Linked DNA regions of Caenorhabditis elegans. The protein of the gene in region 1 interacts with the protein of each later gene in a biochemical or structural test. Each region holds a gene or a part of one and is shown on either strand. Other genes may lie near its edges.

What was found.
Region 2: of the proteins of ubc-12 (region 1) and ned-8, one has a biochemical effect on the other in vitro, tested with the Caenorhabditis elegans proteins (one study listed by BioGRID).

Annotation. Positions count from the first base shown.
Region 1 is NC_003279.8:11,907,827-11,913,773, forward strand, and holds ubc-12 (NEDD8-conjugating enzyme ubc-12), read left to right. Parts: upstream 1-3,493; 5' UTR 3,494-3,500; coding exon 3,501-3,594; intron 3,595-3,640; coding exon 3,641-4,089; 3' UTR 4,090-4,227; downstream 4,228-5,947. Other genes in the region: exo-3 (exodeoxyribonuclease III), read right to left, coding at 200-415, 476-802, 1,132-1,380; rbm-3.1 (RRM domain-containing protein), read right to left, coding at 1,624-1,771, 1,827-1,905, 2,124-2,148; rbm-3.2 (RRM domain-containing protein), read right to left, coding at 2,595-2,751, 2,837-2,915, 3,109-3,130; mag-1 (Protein mago nashi homolog), read right to left, coding at 4,321-4,719, 4,791-4,850; hda-3 (Histone deacetylase), read right to left, coding at 5,299-5,720, 5,832-5,947. UniProt on the Caenorhabditis elegans protein: Accepts the ubiquitin-like protein NEDD8 from the uba-3-ula-1 E1 complex and catalyzes its covalent attachment to other proteins. Plays a role in male tail tip morphogenesis.
Region 2 is NC_003279.8:10,371,362-10,376,944, forward strand, and holds ned-8 (Ubiquitin-like protein NEDD8), read right to left. Parts: upstream 2,502-5,583; 5' UTR 2,499-2,501; coding exon 2,412-2,498; intron 2,344-2,411; coding exon 2,197-2,343; 3' UTR 2,012-2,196; downstream 1-2,011. Other genes in the region: sptf-1 (Specificity protein transcription factor 1), read left to right, coding at 140-166; hpo-35 (PB1 domain-containing protein), read left to right, coding at 3,453-3,536, 3,590-3,649, 3,696-3,795, 4,025-4,119, 4,175-4,583, 4,631-4,881, 5,294-5,359. UniProt on the Caenorhabditis elegans protein: Ubiquitin-like protein which plays an important role in cell cycle control and embryogenesis. Covalent attachment to its substrates requires prior activation by the E1 complex uba-3-ula-1 and linkage to the E2 enzyme ubc-12.

The DNA of each region.
Region 1 (5,947 bases):
TTTTTAAGTGGATTTCATGGAAATCTTCTGAAAAATTTCAATTCCCCGGTGGATTTTGTCTAAATTTTTTTGGAAAATCAAATTTTTATGGCAAATTCCATCAAAATTTCGGTATCCACCGGGATTTTACGGGAAAAAATCCCAGACATATTGCATTTTTTGCCCATTTTTTCAATTTTCCACAGCTTCCAGACGAGACCTTATTCATAATTCGATTGCTGACAACATAATAATCCAATCTCCATCCAACATCTTTCTGCCGAGAATTCGCCAGATAACTCCAAAATGAGTACTTCTTCTCGTCGGGATGCATGGCTCTGAAGGTGTCGGTGAATCCCAACTCGAGCATCTCACTGAACCATCCACGTTCTTGATCTGTGAATCCCGCGGTTTTATTTCGATTTGATTCTGGATTCTGAAAGGATCAGGGAGTTAATTTATAATTTTTAAAACAAATTTAATACAATATATTTACTTTCAGATCAATTTCATTATGTGCAACATTCAAATCACCCCCGTAGATCACTGGCTTCTTCTCGTCCATCTCCTTCATCTTCTCGGTCAGCAGCTTCTCCCAGCGTCCTCGTTTCTCCAAATTCACCAGCTTCGCGCCCGAATTTGGAACGTAAGCTCCGATAAAGTAAAACTTGGAGAACTCGGCGATGATCAGACGTCCGGCAGTGTCGAATTCTGGGTCACCGATTCCTTTGTGAACCTTCATCGGAGCACATTTGCTGAGCAGCCCGACTCCTGCGTAGCCACCGTTCTTCTCTGTGGAGACGACGAGGGTTTTGGTGTAGTTCTGGAAAAAAATTAGCTTTGAAAATCGCTTTTTCAGCCATTTTCTCGCATTTTTCTGCTAAAATTTCATTCAAAATATTTTTAAAAAGCACATAATATCCCTATTTAAATGGAAATCTGGTAGAATTTTGACTTTTAAATGTTATTTTTATGCAAATTTCTTTTGAATTGCGATTTTCTTTGTAGATTTCAGGAAAAATAGTGAATTTCCGCTTGGATTTAATGGAAATTTCTACGTTTTTTCGTTTAAAATGTGTTAATAAACATATTTTTGATGAAACCCGGCCGTAAAATATGCGAAAAATCTCTTTTCTTCCAGGAATTCCTTACCTTAAACGTCTCCTCCATCTCCGGGGGCCACTCCTTACACTTGGTCTCTCCTAGAAAAACGAGGTCAGGCTCCTCGGCGAGCACTTCCTTAAAATCACTTTTCTTCACACAAGCTCTGAGCCCTGCCACGTTCCAGCACACAAACTTCCAGCTTTTCTGATTATTGTCCTCTTCTGCCGGCTTCACCTTCTTTGTGAAGATCGAGGCGAGCTTTGGTGCTGGTGCTTCTTCTGCTTTTCGCTTCGACATTTTCAGCAACAGGTTAGTAGTCGAGTAGGCTCTTGAACGGAGCAGCTGGGGAAGAAGAAAGTTGAATCAGGTCGGCGGATGGAAGGATGACAAATAGAGAAACTTCCCCGAATGTTGAACAGATTAGTTAGAGAATAGTTGAAATTGAATTAAATAATTAAATCGATAGTTTCATTGGATTGTTATTAATAATGAGATCAGTGAAGAGCAAAAAAGTAACAAAAACCCGATATGAAGATCAACTTATTTGTTGGCGAGGTTGACGCGGAGTGGTCTTCCATTGAACTCGGCTCCATTCATCTGCTCGACGGCTCTCTGTGCGGATCCTTCCTCGGCGAACTCGATGAAGGCGAATCCACGTGGACGTCCGGTTTCGCGATCACAGACGATTCTGAAAGAGATATTGCGTTAGAAATCATGAAGCTCGGGCTGGCTGGGAGAGTTACCTGACGTTGTTGATTTGTCCGATGCTGCTGAAGAAGTTTCCAAGCTCCTCCTCGGTGGTCTGGAATGGAGCGTTTCCAACTAAAAAAAAGGAAAATTTTAATTGATTTAAATATTTCGCAACCAAATTTGAATCTAAACACTTAAAATTGCCTTTTCAAATGAAAATATTAGGGAAAACTTCGCGAATTCGATTTTTCCGAAAAATCCCAAAATTTCAGGACAATATCGAGTTTTATTGGCTATTTTAACCAGTTTCCGATTGTTTAATACTTAAAATAAATTATTAAAAAACTAACCGTAAACAGAGAAGATTCCAGACATGACGATTTTAGGCCGTAGCAGAAAATTTATGACGGTTTAATTTTTCCGCTCACCCTGCCTTGGAGAAAACGTGCGGCAGTTGCGTAAAAACCGTGCCAGGGTTGCGTTTTGGCCCCGCCCCTCGAATAGCATCGATTTCGACAGATTTTTTCCATTTCAAGCTGAAAATATGAGGAATTAGTCCAAAATAAGACCGCGAAGAGTGTTGAAACTTGAATTTTCAGTTGTAAGCTCACATTGGGCTGCGCATAGCCCAGGATTCAAAACTTGCTCGAACCGAAGCCGTTCCTTCAAGCTTCTAGCCTCAACGCTTGCCATCAGATTGACCCCAAATGAAGATTCGAAATAAAAAAATAGAGCATATATATTTATGATAACGATTTCATGGGTTTATTATTATTGAGATCATTAAAGATCAAACAAGTAACAAAGTACCGATATGAAAATTAGTTGTTTCTGTTTTGAGCCAAGTTGACGCGTAGAGCTCTTCCGTTGAAATCGACTCCGTTGAATTGGTCGACGGCTCTCTGGGCAGCGGCCTCCTCGGTGAACTCGACGAAGGCGAATCCACGTGGACGTCCGGTCTCGCGGTCGCAAACGATTCTGAAAATAGAGATTCATATTGAGAGTTAACGGGTCGTCGTTCAGGAGGTTTCGGGAAGAGGAGATTTCGGGGAGAGAAGCTTACCTGACGTTGCTGACGTTTCCAGCCTGGCTGAAGTAGTTGCCAAGGTCGTCCTCGGTAGTTTGGAATGGAGCGTTTCCGACTGAAAAATGCATTAAAATTATTAAAAACTCAAATTATCTCAGCCTAATCAAATACAATAAATAGAAAAACGCCTGGAGAAAAATAAAAATTTTAGGCCAGACTTTAAATTCGGCTTTTCTCGATTAAAATCTGCTTTTAAAGCTGAATATTCCAGTTTTCTACTTGAATAATTTACAATTAACAAAACTAACCGTAAACAGAGAATCCAGACATGACGATTTTAGGCCGGAGCGTAAATATGTGTGATTCGAATCGTTTTCGCTTGCCTCCTCCGACTCGTGGGAAACCGTGCGGCACTTGCGGTAAAAGTGTGCCAGCCTTGCGTTCGCGCTCCGCCCCCTTTAGTCATTTCAGCGTTAGCAAACGCTGCGTCTTTTATTCCTCATTCTCTGTCATTTTTCATAGCAATTGTTTCATTTTCTCACGTAATTTGTCGTTTTTTCGCTGAATTACAAGATTTTCATCGATTTTTGACCCTTTTACACTGTAATTTTGCCAAAAAAACGATTATTTTCTCTATGTTTCCGTATGCGCCGCCTATATCGCTGAAAATTATCGTATTTCTTAATTTTTCGCTTTCAGAATGTTCAATCTTCAAAAACGAATCAACGGCAACAACGAGGACGGTCGGTATCTTGAAACCCGCATCGCCGTCCGTGACAAGCTCCTAGCTCAGGGTATGTGGCTGCTTTATAAAAAATTTTGATTTTACAACATTTTCAGAACTCCAACAGCTGGAGACTGCTCTTCGCGATCAGAAGCAAAAGCTGTGGCATCTCGAGGTCCCATCAACATCGTGTCTTCATGAGTTGGAACTCACCGTGACACCTCAAGAAGGAATCTATCGTGGAGGCAAATTCCGATTCAAGATCACCGTCCCGCCAGAGTACAACAACGTGCCGCCCGTTGTTAAGTGCCTGACAAAGGTTTGGCATCCAAATATCAACGAGGACGGATCGATTTGTCTATCGATTTTGCGTCAAAACTCGTTGGATCAATACGGATGGCGTCCAACGCGTAACCTCACCGACGTCGTCCACGGACTCGTCTCACTGTTCAACGATCTTATGGACTTCAACGACGCGCTGAACATTCAAGCCGCCCAGATGTGGAGTCAGAATCGCGAATCGTTCAATCATCGTGTTCGGGAATACATTTCTAGATATTGCTAAGGACCAACGGATCGGATTACAAATGGCCTGTGAATTGACCCCCCCTATGAAATTGATTTTGATTCTAACTTTTCCCCCACCTCTCAGACTTTTTCTAACTGTACTTTTTGAAAGAAATAAAATTTATTCTTGAGAAATTTGAGAACTTAAGAAGAGAAGAGAAAATCGAATAAATTAAACAAGTTAAAGAGATTTGGTGGATAAAATAGAACAGAGTCTGAAGGAATTAAATTAGATTGGCTTGATCTTGAAGTGAAGGCCAATGAGCGAGAAGACGAGGCACTTGAGATCCTGAACGAGATAGTAGAACGAGCGGAGACCATCCGGATCTTTCGAGTTGTTCACATCGGCTAGAGCTCCGATTTTGCCGGTCGTAAACGAGATGTGCTCGTTTTTGTACAGAATTTCCAGCTCCTGGCGTCCAATCTTGTCTGGTTCTGGCCAATTGTCATCGTCCTCCTGCATGATTTCCGAGTCTTCGATGATACGCTTGAGCTCGCTGAGCACCGATTCCGACACTGTCGCCTCTTTGCGGATCATCGTGTCATTCTTGTAGTTGGAGTTGTTCGCGTAGCGAAGCGATCCGTTTGGACGGAATTCGAATTCGAGAAATTCGTGACCGAATTTTCCCTGAAAATTGTTTCGTAAACTAATTTAAATTGGCGAAAATTGTCATTTTTCCAAGATTTTCCAAGACCTACCTTGTGTCCAACGTAGTAACGAACGTAAAAGTCCGCTGCCTTCTCTTCTTCGCCGCTCATTCTGAAAATAAATAGGAATTGAGAAAATCCAAACATCCATTAAATAAAACCGGGTGAAAATTAGAATTTCAAGGTAAAAAAACCTGATTTTTCAGTGAAAATTCACAAAAGAAAGATGATAAATAGGTTTATATTGTGATAAATTCGATAAAAACTGTGTTTTTAGACAAGAAACGATAGAAAATATCCTTTAAAATATAGAGAAAAGAAATCCGATAAAAATTCGAAAACGCCGAAATCTGTGCATTTGTGCGCGGCGGTGTATGCACCACCGGCACCACACTTGACGACGGAAATTTTTTAATTGTCGATTTAACGAAAGATTTAAATAGATTTGAGGATCAATAGAGGTTTAGAGAAGTTGAGATTCGTATAAATTAAAGAAATAGTTTGAAGAGACGATATAAATACAAAGTTAGTGCATACAGAAAATCAAGTTAAAACCAAATTATGCCACATTTTCGCCGCCATCAATCCGATTTTTCTTCATCTCCTCTTGCGCCGCACAAATCGGACTCGCGTGCCGTTTCATCGATTGAATATTCTTCGTCTCCGGCTCTTGACCATCGTAGAATTCCGCCGAATCTTCCACCTGAACGTCTTCCTCGAACTGAGTAACTCTGACGTCATCATTCTGATGATCTCGGATCAGTTTCTCGTCAAAAGTCTTCACAATTGAGTCACAACTCGTCGAAATCGATTGCATTTGGACCGATGGAACGTGTGGAAGTTGCTTTAAATTCTCCAAAAGCGCGACAATCGTTTGATCAATGAATTCAGGAGTGTTGAAGTTCGAAAGAGCGGCGAGCGGCTTTATGTGTAGTTTGTAGTCCGGGATGAAGTAGTCAAAGTAGTCGTGGAGGGGCAGATCTGGAAGAAAAATTGGCATTTTTTAGCGGGAAATTCGAATTTTCAAGATTTTTTGCCGAAAATAAGCCGTTTTTTCGCAAATTTCCGGGGGAAAAATCGAAATTTCCATACCATCTGAAACTTCTTGATTCAAAGCGATCGCCGTCTCGTACAGCCAACATCTGGAGACATTTCGAATCGTATATCCACCACCGCCAACTAACAGAAGCGGCACGTTGAAGCTTTTC
Region 2 (5,583 bases), 1.5 Mb from region 1:
CTTGTAGAGTGATTGTTTTTTTTTGTAATTATTATATTTGAATCTTTTCCTAATCCAGTTTATTATCATTGTCCAATGCGTTGCGTCATTCACAACCAAAAATTAATCTGGCAATTATCATAATTCTGTTTTTTTTAAGAAGAAACGCTCCGGTGACAGCTCATGACTACATCGTCCATGTTTCCGTATCTCTTCACATATCTCATTCAAAATAAATTAACTTTCTTTATTTGATATTTCTATTTTATTTCCTCTTGATCTTCTCTCTTCTGTCTCTGGTCTATTGTGAATATATTTTTCCATCCTGTCTGAAATAAACAATTGTGGTCTAAAATATATAGAATTCATCCATTTACATGCAATATAACTGCCGTATTTTGTCTATTGGTATGGCTGCAATACAATTTTTCAGAAATCTTCACGACATACCAATAAGCAAGACCGGGGTATTTTATTTCAAAATTCTATTTTACGAAGGCTATCCTCAGGTTATGCAGTTCTTTCGATTTACCAATGAAATGAAAATTTTAGAAAACATATTTTCGTCATCATAGTTCTGAGTTTAAGTGATCTGAACGAGAGCCGATATGGCTGATATGGCACCATCTTATATGGATACATTTTCGATTTGCACTTAATATAACAACCGTATTTCTTCTATGATTGTTATACTATTTGTGTTGGGCTTATTAATTTTTACTTGAAAGAACTCAATTTTTCATTTGGAGATGTTAACATTTTGATCATAACTGTAACAAAAAGTTCAATAACTTCAATTTTTATAAACTTGAGAAAATTGTTTAAAAACAGGAAACAAAAATCTCGGTAACTCTTAAAAATTAGTGAAGCGGGATTGCACCAAACAAAAAATTAAACGCAAGATTATTAAGGAGTACAGTACTAATTTTCGGAAGATGTTTAAGATAATATGGTAAATTGGAAAAAATACGGTAAATATTTTATAGAAAAAAGATGAATGCAAGGGGAAACAGATGGGAGTGAGGAGATGATATTACGATTTACAAAAATGGGAATGGTATTTTACACGAATTTTGGAACTGGGGAAAACAGATGTCGTGCAATATGTGTTAGGTATGAACAAGATTAGAAAACACTAACACATTATTAGAATGGCATGCTGCTTTTTTCGATCACTTTCATGAATGACATCGACGCTTCATTTACGCATTGTGGACGGAGATTGTAAAATTGGGATATTAAATTGTTTGCATTGTGAAGGTGAAGAAACCATCCATGGATTCAACGACGTTACACTCTGCCTTAATTCCATCAATACGAGTTATTTCGAACTTTTGTGGTCCAATTTTATGCTTAGGTAGATTCATAATAATAGGCAAGTCACTGATGTCTGGATGTTCAAACTTAAGATATTGAAGCATACAATTCGAGTAACAAGACATCCAGTGACGGATAAATATATTCCAATCTTTTGCGCTCATATTCGAATGAAAAACTGTGATTTTGAGACAATCAAAATTGAGAAGAAAGTACAACCAGCGTTACCAAACTTTTTTGCTCGCGATGAGACCCATCTATTACGGGAACACGAAATTCTGAGAATGCGTATTGAACAACATATTTGACGCGCAAAATATCTCGTAGCGAAAACTACAGTAATTCTTTGAATTACTACTGTAGCGCTTGTGTCGATTTACGGGCTCGATTTTCGAAATGAATTTCTCCGTATTATTTTTTTCATTTTTTTATTCTAATATTTTATCGATTAATAAATGATTTCCGTAAATCGTCAGCAGTGCTACAGTACTCATTTGTTGCGTAATACGAATTCTCAGGATTTTTTGTTACCATAGTGTTATTTTCATCAATTTCTTTCTAATAAATGAAAAACATTTTTAAGAGTTACCGAGATTTTTTTTAATATTCCTTTTCAATGAGGAGAAAATTGTCAATGAGAAGCACTAATTGTTTCGCCGTTGCGTTCAGGGCAGGACTGCTTTTAATTTTAAAATAATAGCATCACGAGATCAAGAATGCATTATTTATTTGAACACAGAAAATAAAATGAGGAATATGATTTAAAGAACTGATGTAACAATAAATATTGAAAGTTGGAGAGATTGGACATAAAAACGGGACATTCGGGACTGTGACTCGTTTCTATTTGGAGCGGGCTCAATTCAGACGGGAGTTTACATTTTATATGAATACATTTTCTTAAAATCCTCCGCGGAGAGCAAGAACCAGATGAAGAACAGATCCACCGAGAACCTTGTAATCTGCTGCTGTCTTGTCGTCGTTCATTTGCTTTCCGGCGAAAATGAGACGCTGTTGGGGTGGTGGGATTCCTTCTTTTTCTTCGACCTGCAAAATAATTTTCGTTGGATATTTCGAGATAAAATTTAGCTAAAATGGAAGTTAAAGTATGTTACCTTTTCTTTGATTCTCTCGACTCGATCATTTGGTTCGATGTCCAGCTCAATTTCCTTTCCAGTCAAGGTTTTAACTTTGATGAGCATTTTCTGTAAACTGAGACGATAAATAGCGAATATTAGGTGAAAATTAACATAAAATTTTCAAAATACTGCGTTAACAGATAAAAAGTGATTCAAAAACAATGGATTTAACTCTAAACTTGAAAAAAAGAACAAAATTCGAAGAATGATGAGAGGGGTCCGGTAGAGCGCATTTGGAACGCGAGAACGAACGAGAGAGCATGAGAATATGAGAGACGCAGCAGCTTACTACGCAGTTATTTTTTGTTAATATTTATTTTTGTTTTTATAATATTATTTTCATTTTTAATTTCAGTCTTAGTCCGAAATCTATTTTGTTTGAAGTATTAAAAGTTCTCATAGCTATGAAATATATTATTGAGAAAAGAAGAAGAAAAATTCAAGAAATGAGATAGAAAATTGCTCACCGTTCGTCAAGACGAAAGAAAAGCGAATGAAGTACCTTTCTCGAACAAATGCGCTCAGCGTATCAAGAACAAATCGATTTCTTACAAATACTGCGCGTTCTGATCTCCTAGGAAGTTCAGTTAGGTTCATCCTAAACACTAGTTATCGATTTTCATATTTCCTACTGGTCGAATGTGATATAATAATGAAAATTAAACAGATTTGTGGATAGGAGAATTAAAATATCATTCATGAATCACGGAACACTATTTAGAAATTATATTTACATTACTCAAAAAATTGGGGTGAAATAGAACAAAACACAAACCCAAACATGAAATTAAATAAATTATTTCACCATTCATAACGGCCATCATAACTACTATTATAAGCCCATTAATGAGCACTCATTGAGCAGAAAATAAATAGACATTGGCCTTGTGGCCGAACTTGCACTCTTCCATAAAGCGTTCCAAAGAGCCTTCGATTTTCTTGCTTAAATGACATTTCTCTATCCTTTTCATAAATTGAAATTAATGCTTCCACTTAATAAACTAAATTTCAGCCGAAATGCCTACTATGGTAATGTCACAACTGCCTAAATCATCAGGCAATGCGCGAAAACGTCAAAAGAACAAAAACGACCACATTGTCGTAAGTATTTCTGAAGATTTCGAGTCCAACAACATTAAAATCAACCCTTTCAGGCAATCAGCTACATGTACGTTGGAACTCCAAAGAAAAAGTTCACCTTCTATGTTCGAGAAGTAAATTAAATATCTGATAGTTCAAGATTTATTCATTTCTTTTCAGAGAATGTTGTATCGTTCGAATGTGGAAGTTACATACGAGGATGTATACAACTATTTGGCTACAATTTCCAACGACGAAACTGTTTCTTTGCATTATTCTGGTAATTTTCTCAAAAAAATCCCATTTCGGAGCGAATTTTCAGACAAAAATTCGAAGTTAAAGTTTCTCATAGTTTTGTAGAAGTTTTAATCGAAAATTTATATAGAAAGATAGAAAAGTACTTCAACTGTTGTTTGCAAATTTTGAGAAACTGCAGCTTTCAGGCAGTATTCGAGGTCCCTTTTGTTTCTGAATAAATTTTTTTCTTTGTAAAGCTAGACAATTTTCAGTCAATGGTTTGTACGTGCCAATCACAACTACTGGACAGCTTCACACATTTATTCGCCATGTTCATAATGATCCTACTGCATTTCTGTACGTAGAGGTAAAAGTTTCAAATCTATCAGAATGTAATCTAATTTAATTTTTTTAAATTTCAGAATCAAGATTACGTATGGAATGTTACGCCACAGAGCAAAAGCCACAAAATGGAGAAGCGAGTTCCAAATGGAGGAGCTACTCCGATAGATGGAGACTCTGAACAGTATGATTCAACGGAGGACGAAGAAGTGTCTCATGTTGAAGATGAAAATTGTGATTCTGAAGAAATTAGTCAGGACGAGGAAGAATATGAAGATGAAGAAGGTGAAGAATATGACGATGATGATGAATCTCGAATTGCGCCAATTCTAACTGATTATACAGCTCCAATGATTGTTAGCGACAAGATACCATTGAAAGAAGCTTTTGTAGAGCCCAAACCACGTGGTCAAACCGGTCAGCAACAGGATACAGAGGTGAAACATCGATTGATACGTATTGGAGATCCACTCGCTTCACCTGCTAAAAGTATAGTAAATACTGAAATTTAAAAAATATTTTTTGTCCATTTTCAGAATCCCCACTTTCCAACCGTCAATGGACAGAATCACAAGCATACCATCACGTTAAAAATATTCTATCTGATACTTTATCCAAAAAGTCGATGGATTCAGCTCCAACACTGATAGCCGAACAACTCGTTCGAGACGTCTGGAATCCCTCATTCCCATATAATGAGAAAGTACACGAAGATACTGTGGCTCTTCTCGCTCATAGTCTGGGAACCGGTCTTCTCCATTATTATAATAGAATTTTGTCGAGATATGTAAGAATTTGTTGTCTGATATTACCAAGACATGAGATTGTACACTTTAAAAAATGCGGGACCCGGTCTCGCCAAGCGACATGCGCCTTTAAAGAGTACTGTAAATTCAAACATTCAATTTCCATAGATTTTCATTTAAAAATAATTGATTTATTGAAATCCCAAAATAAAACAATTAAAACACAAATTTCAATAAATCATTTTTTTTAAACTATAAAAAGTCTATACAAATTTGAAGTCACAGTACTCTTTAAAGGCGCACACCTTTTTGAGGTTAACGAAAATTTGTCTTGGCGAGACCGAGTACCATATTTTAAGCTTAGACATTGCAAAATTTCGTGTCGGGGTAATATATATATATATATATATAATGTTTTTGAAACAGAGATAGTTAAAGTTGAATCCTTTTCAGGCTCCCTGTGATATTTCTTCCGATTATTCGCCGCGAATGGAAAAACTTTTGAAGGAAGAACTCATGGTAATTCAATCTTCAAAAAAAAACAAATTCAAAGCACTTTAGACTCTGGATTCTCGCATATGAGTAATACTAGTTTTAGGAAAGTTTTTAAATTGCTAGTTTTTCGTTTACAAGCACTCAAATTTTAACAAATATAAAAAAAAACAATAATTAATGCAAACCGTTGAATTTTCAAAGTACGTTTTTTTAATTGAATAACACATGATTAGTTTTTACCTCAAAAT